Linked DNA regions of Pelodiscus sinensis. The protein of the gene in region 2 interacts with the protein of the main gene of each other region in a biochemical or structural test. Links are inferred from orthologs where the notes say so. Each region holds a gene or a part of one and is shown on either strand. Other genes may lie near its edges.

What was found. The genes of interacting proteins can lie anywhere in the genome.
Region 1: the proteins of MIS18BP1 (region 2) and MIS18A form a complex in vitro, tested with the Homo sapiens proteins (2 studies listed by BioGRID). The link is inferred for Pelodiscus sinensis from reciprocal best matches to the Homo sapiens genes MIS18BP1 and MIS18A.

What each region holds. Positions count from the first base shown.
Region 1 is NC_134711.1:182,550,539-182,554,286, forward strand, and holds the start of MIS18A (protein Mis18-alpha), read right to left. Parts: upstream 2,664-3,748; 5' UTR 2,572-2,663; coding exon 2,364-2,571; intron 2,233-2,363; coding exon 2,166-2,232; intron 810-2,165; coding exon 687-809; intron 1-686. UniProt on the Homo sapiens protein: Required for recruitment of CENPA to centromeres and normal chromosome segregation during mitosis.
Region 2 is NC_134714.1:3,100,800-3,104,547, forward strand, and holds the start of MIS18BP1 (mis18-binding protein 1), read right to left. Parts: upstream 2,776-3,748; 5' UTR 2,661-2,775; intron 2,105-2,660; exon of another isoform or gene 1,948-2,104; intron 1,773-1,947; 5' UTR 1,638-1,772; coding exon 971-1,637; intron 1-970. UniProt on the Homo sapiens protein: Required for recruitment of CENPA to centromeres and normal chromosome segregation during mitosis.

The DNA of each region.
Region 1 (3,748 bases), on a different chromosome or scaffold from region 2:
CTGGGATGGAGGTTGAGTGAAGGAGGGAGGGTGGAGTGAGGGACTGGAGTGTAGGAGGGGGTTCAGAAAGTTAGGATTGTGACCAGGGCAGAAAGTTGGGGGGAGGAAGGGGACAGGGTGCCAGGTGCAGGTTCTAACGAGGAGGCACTTACCCTAGGTGACTCCCAGCTAACAGCCTAGCAAGACTTGCATGTGATCCAAGTAGCCAGCAGCTTTAAGTAGGCATCTCTGCATTACACACCTCTTGGGGAAGGGGAAACTTCACACATTTCTAGCCAATTGGAGCTACAAGACTCTGCTGAGGTGCGGGCAGTGAATGAAGCCTCCATGCCCCGACATGGGGCCCTTGGTGCTGTGATGTACAAGCACCAACAGCTGGCCACTTTGAAAGGCACATGGGGGTATAGCAGGCACGGTGCCTATTCAAGGATCAAGACATTGGCGACAGCCCATATTTTGCCTGCTCCACAATACAGAATACTGTTCTTGAACAAAAGGAGATTAGAGGAGTAATCCATAACCTTTCCCAAATACCCTCCCACATACTCACCTTAATACAAGCTTAATAATAAATATCTGATTGCTAAAAGTGTTAAGTAATGAACCCAAACTACCTGGCATTTAATCTAAAAGGCAAAAATCAATTAGCATATTTGACAACTTGAATCATTTGGTCTCATCCTTACCTGTCAATTGAGTCAACACTGAAGCAAAATAAATCTCGCTTATAGTCAAGATGTTTTGGGGTGCATCTGTAGATGTTCCCAAGGGTCATTGAACAGCCAGAGCAGAACAAAGTTTCAATCATGCTATAAGCAAATATATAACCACTTGTTTAGAAAGATGATTTAAATTGATTCCAATTCATTCACTTCTAATCTTACTTCGAAGAGAGTATCCACTACCACTGTGTCAGTAAATCACATTAGGAAAAAAGAGTGAAATGTGGTTATGTAATGCAAAAAATTACACATATTCATGTATATCTGTTTCATTTCATTCTATGAATCAGTATAGTCATGTTAGTCTGCAACTGCAGCATAATGAAAAATGTTTCAAATATGGCAGCTATATCAACACCTGAACTTCAGGCTTTAAGCCAACAAGGCCAATGCATCAGCACACACACATTTTACCATGCATTTGACAAAGTGGTTTGCCCCAATAAATCAGTTAGCCTTTAAGGTGCCACAGGATTCCTCATTTGTTTTACTCATTCCAAATATATAACCCTTGAACCCTATGCATGATCTTAGCAAGGTAAATTACTCAGCTATACAGCAGAATACTTTAGCCTATACTAGATAAAATTGACTTCCAAACTAGTATTTGGATTGAAATTTTTGGTAACTCCCTCCCAAGCAGTAACTAAAAGATCCTTATCCTATTTGGGGTTTTATGATTATGAACTGAATAAGTTTTCTTCCATTTTCATTCACCATTTAAGATTTGTGCAGGAGACATTTGAAGTCACATAATAAAACCCTTCTGATTGGGAGCATCGTTTCAGTGGCATGACCAATAGCAGCACCCATGGTGCACCATTACCCGCTGTTTCAAAGCCAGACCTCAAGAAGGTTCAGTCTGTGGCTGGTATCCACTGTGCCTATTCAGGCTGCACCAACCCAAGGGATATGTGCGTACTGAGGAATTGGCTTTGTTTTGCTTAACGAATCAAGTGCTGACTAAGGATGTAACAGAATAACCATTTAAACAGTTAACTGATCACTCTGGTGTTATCGGTACGGGAACGGTTACATGCAGGTTCCTGCCCCACTCTTGGGGAGTCAGCTGCCATCCTGCACCATGGCCTCTGTATCAGGGCTTACACTGCAGGGTGGCAGCCAGCTCCTTAGGAGCAGGGAGCCAGTACATGTCAGGAGCCGGGAGCCAATGCAGGCTGCAGGTGCGTGGAGCTGCTTTGAAGGTTTTCACCCAGTTACCCGCTTTTTAACATCCCTAGTGTTGATATAGCTACGCCATGGGCAACGCCTCCTGCTTCTCCCGTCTCGCGGCCGCCGTGCCCCGGCTGCTCTCCCCTTCCAGCAGTGGGGGAGGCCAGCGGTAGGGGGCTGGGATACTTCGGGCACGCCCCGGTCGTCATTCAGCGGTGCCCGCGACCCTGGATGTCCCGGCTGCCAGGCCCCTCGGCCCTGCCCACTCACCATCCGCACTCGCCGGGCCGGCTGGAGAGCTTCTGCTCCTTCTCTACCGACACGTTGGGGGAGGCGCCTGCAAGAGACAGGCGGGACCAACCGTCACTAACGGCCGCGGGCGGGCGGAGCGGAAGGAACGGGCTCGGAGCCGGCGGGGGCCGGCAGAGATTCGCTTCCCCCGCCAGCCTCGCGCGCGCGGGGACTCACTGCGCAGCAGGACGCAGCCGGTCTCCTCCTCGTTGGCCACCCAGCCCAGCGTGTCCCCCACGGGCCGCTTGCAGCCGGCGCACAGGAACACCATGGGCAGCTCCTCCGGCTCGTCGGGGGCCGCCGTGCCCCGGCTGCTCTCCGCCTCCAGCAGCGACAGCGACGCCTCCAGCCCCGCGCCCGGCGGCACGTATTGCGCGCCCGCCATCCCCCACCTTCAAACCGCCCGCCGCCCGGAAGCGGAAGCGGCGCGCACGAGCGGAGCGCAGAGGGGCAGGGACAAAGAGGAACCCCTGCCGGCGAAGCCCCGCCCCCTTCCCTTGTCTGAGCAGGGCGGGGACGGAGAAGAGCCCCGCCCCTTTCCGGCAGTGGTGGGGGCGGGGCTAAGTTCTCCTGGGTGCCGCGTGTCATATAGGGCCTGTGGCGCGTTTGCCCAGGTGACTGCGCCCCGCGCGCCCCTTGCGGCAGTGGCCCGGCCCGGCCCGGCACTGGCGGGTGGGAGGCGAGGGGAGGGGAGGGGAGGCTGCTGTTGCCCTGCCAGCCTGTTTTCCAGTCTAGGCTGATTTCTGGAACCAGTTTACGGAGACTGTGCCCCACCTGCGCTAGGGCAATCCTGCCACTTCAAGAGCCAAAGAGATCTATCGCCCAGCTGACCATGCCGCGCATGGCCACCCCGCCAGATTGGGCAGGAAGACATTCACCATCATCATCATCAACAACCACCATGGGCTCAACGCCCGTTGGTGTCTGATGCCTCCACTGCTGAGTCACTTAGTTTCTGTAGACTAGCTCCCCACCCATTCTCTGTGCAGTCTGCCTCTCCAAACTGGACTGTCCGTTATGCCGAATACCAGGGTCTTAACTTTTCACTCATTGTTCATTCTGCAGATATGCCCAAATAGCTGTAACTTCCATTGTATAACCTTCTGCAGTAGGTTTTTTTTTTGGCTGTATCTTCCTATATAATTCCTCGTTGGTGACCTTCTGCATCCATCATATTCTCAGTATCTTTCTATAACTCCTCTTGAACGTCAATATCCTTCTCTTTGAATCTTTCATTATCACCCATGTCTCACATCCCTAAACATGCTGCTAAATACACACATTTTCAAGATGCTCAATTCCATTCCTAAGCTAATCGCTTTACTTTTCCAGATCTTATCCATCAACTTCAAACTCGCTCTTGCTTTCGCTACTCTAGTCACTATTTCCTTCTTACAGTCTAGATCATATGTAATATTGCTCCCCAAATATTTGAACTTCTCTACATTCTCTAGTTTGATCCCATCTACACTGATCTTCCTTCCTATTTCTTTATCTCCAAATACCATTGTCTTTGTTTTATCAATATTCATAATCAGTCCATACCGCTTCCCTTCCTCATT
Region 2 (3,748 bases):
AGCTATTGATACATTACAAACCATGTTGCCCCCTCTAAGGTATCACGGCACAGGGACAGTGTATGCTCCCACAGCAGCATACTCCCAGTTCTAAAACCTTACAAAAGCATAGCACACCTGATGGAATAGAAATCCATGACTGTGTGTACCAGTTGCATCCTGAAGCTTGATCCATCCTTTCACTCAGACACACAATCACTGTAATACAGTGCTACAGATCACATATCACCATTCTCCTTGCAGCAACCAAATGATTCTAAGATGGGAAACAGAGAAGAAACTACTGCTCATCAATTCCAACAGTTAACATGGGCTTTTGGGAAGGGAGCACAGGACTTTAAATTTATGTAACACCATGTAGCCAAAAGCAGAGAAAAGAAAAAAGAATGGCCTCATCACTAAAGGTCCAAATAAAAACACATTTTAAAGATGGTATCTAAGATCATGCCTCTTCCGCTGATAGCTATTAGCAGAAATGGCAGGTGTATGTGCTCCATCTTTTGCACTGGTCTTTGGATAATAGATTTTGGTCTTTGGGGAGTAGGTTTAATCCTCTGGCTCTTAAGAGTATCATAAAACATTCAAGACCTATACGTGTTAGATTAGCTGGAGAGAGGAAGCTATGCAATAAGTATGGTTATAGGCCATTTCATGGGCTGAAAAACAGTAAAAACAGAGGAGAAAAGTAGAGAATATAGTGTAGAAAAATTATATGAAGAAGGTGGAGGAAAAAATTTAATTACCAGGAGTTTACAACATTGCTTATAGATTTGGCTATATTTCTTTATGTTTAAGGGAGGATAGCTGGAAGTAGAAGGAAGGAGCACAAACATTCCTTATCTTGGCTAACAGGATCTGGAAAACAACTTCCAGTAAATCCACATGCAGCTATAACCTAAGCATAATAAAACCCACATTTTACTGGAGGACGTAATTTAACCAGGCATCTTGGCAACATAATGCAACAAACCTTTTCTTAGCTGGATCTGTTTATCAGGTAGCTTGACATCTCTTTGGTGGTTGTCTTCATCACTGACTTTTTTATCCCATCTTCCCTGATGGGCAGGATTTGTAGCAGGAGTCAGGATCAAATCACTGTTGACATTTGTCTCTAACAGTTTTCCCTTATAGGGCACTGGATGCTGCTTTTCATGAGATACCTTAGCTTTCATTCTTTGGAAGATTTTTGCTGGAGATTCACGAGTTAAAGGATCACAAGCTTTGCGTTTCAGTACATTTTTGTCTTTTAGTGGCAAGATCTGTTGCTGAGGGCAAGACGCAACTTGCATTGCTACAGTGTCAGACACTGGCCTTATTTCACTGAGGTCAAGAAATTCTTTAGCATAAGTGTCCTCTGTTATTAATGTGGACTGAAAAATACCTTCCCTTTTCTTGAAAGTTCCTGTTCCTCTTGCAGAGTTTTCCTTGAAGTCACACAAACCTGAAGGGAGCATAGTTTCTTTTGTTGCAGAGGTAGTAATACCAGCATGTTGAAATTTCACCAACTCTTTCAAAGGAGTAATAGTACCTGAAGGTATGTTGCTCATAAAGACTGCCTGCAAAGGCATAGCTCCTTTTCTAACAGAAGAAATAGGAGACTTTAAAATATGTGTATTTTTTACAGGTGCTGCAGTCATTCTGCCAATGTTGACACCAATGTTTTGTGCTCTTACTGCAAAGCCATTGAAGCGTGCATGTTTAGGTACAGTATTTTAAATAAAGGAAGAAGCACGAATTCCATGGACTGCCAACTTTATTTGCCTGCATTTCATCTAAAAAGAAAAACAGGGTTAAAAGAAGCTTGTCTTTGTATTTTCATAAGGAGTGCCACATTTCCCAAGTTAGCTTCCCTCACGCTGCGATCTGTGCTGCATACACGCTGCCTGCCTGCTTGTTTCCAGTTAATTATTTTCAGAAGTGGTCACACCAACACAGCACCAGACTTACGTTTATCAGCTGGATCCGCAGGGGCTGTGTGAAGAAGGGATGTCACTAGTTCACCACGAGTAGCCCTGTGGCACTTGAGGGACTCACAAAAATACACAGTACCATGCGCTTCCGTGGGCAAAACCCACCCCTCAGATAAGCTCCTGTGAGGAGGTGGGTTTTGCCCAGGACAGTGTGTTATTTTGTGGTGGTTGCTAGTCTCTACCCAGTGTGTCCCAGCCAGTGGTACGAGCACCCTTAGGGGTACTCAGAGAAGTGGGGGGGGGGGTGCATCAACACGACTGAAGTGTGGAGAAAGCGGGGTGTTGTGGGAGGTCTGACAGCGCTGTATTATCTCTGCCCTTTTCACAGCCAGCAGCTCAGCGCCCGCCCGCTAGATGCGGTTGTTTAAACAAACGTGCTGCGATGGCAGACCCCCCCCCCCCGGCTCCGCTGCTACGGGGCTGCCGCTTTTTTTAAAGGGTACTTCGTTACAAAAACAAAACAAGCGCAAAGCCAGACCCGCAGCCACGCAGCATCCCCGGGCCGGGCGAGGCGGCTCCCGGCCCCCCCCCGGATCCCCGCTCGCGGGGTCACCGACGCCACGGGGCTGCCGGGCAGGGCCCGAACGGGGTGCACCCCGCGGCCGTGGGGGCGGCCGGAGCCCGCCAAAGCCTCGCGCGCACGGCGCCCCCCTTCCTCCCCCGCAGCAAGGGCCGGGCGGCCGCACTCACCCGCCGCCTCGTCCGCGCGCGCGCGCACCCCGCGGCCGTTAGCCGGTTTGAGTCCCGCCGCCCGGCGCGCGGATTGGCGGCGAGGGGAGTGACGTAGCGCGCCGCTCGCGGCGACGGGTGGAGCCTGGAGAGCGGGGGCGGAGCCTCCCCCCGCAGCCGTTTGTGTCTGAGGAGAGGAGAGGCACGAGGCCGGGTGGGGGAGAGGGGACGCCGCCCCGAACGCGCCCCGCCCCGCCCCGCCCCGCCCCGCGCGGGCTGGGCAAACCCCCCTTCCCCGGGGAGCGGGAGCCCCAGACACCGGGAGCTGCGAAAGGGCCGGTCAGTGGTAGGACGTGGAACGACCCTGGCAGACAGCAGGTTGAAAACCGGCACAGCCAACCTGTGGAACTCCTCGCCGGAGGATGTTGTGAAGACCAGGACTTTAACAGGGCTGGGGAAAGAGCTGACAGACTCCAGGGCAGGAAGGTGACCTCAGTGCTCGAGGTCAGGTCCATCAGTGGCTGTTAGCTAGGCCCAGAGACCTCAGAAGGTCAAGTCCAGCCCCCTGCTCCAGGCAGGACCAAGCCCAAGGATGGGCAGCAATGGTGCCTGCAGCCTCTGTCTCTCAGAATGGGAATGGGTGAGAGCAGAGGGATACTTGGTAATTCCCTGTTCTGTTCCTTAACTCGGGGGCATCTGACATGGGCCATTGTTGGAAGAGAAGACACGGGGCTAGATGGACCTGTGATGTGACAACCCATAGGCTGGTCTTAAGTTTGTTCTTTTGAGCATTTTGCTTGTGGATCCTCAGCTGGCAGTTCTGCAGGAGCCTGTTAGAAAAGAAAGTGTTATTAACTCTCCTCCCCCACCTCTAGAATGTAACCACCACCTACTACTCAAAATTCATGTTGTGGAATTTGGCCCATTTCTGAACCCTGGTAGTTTCATGTGTATTTGCTAATACCACAAACAGTAACAGGATTTTACTTCCCATGTCAAATAGCTGAGCGAGAAAAAGTATTGTCTTCCCCCTCAAGCATTTTATGTGACTGAACCTCTTTACTCCCCAGTTACTTACAGTGCATGTGTTTACATAATCCCAGTGTTGT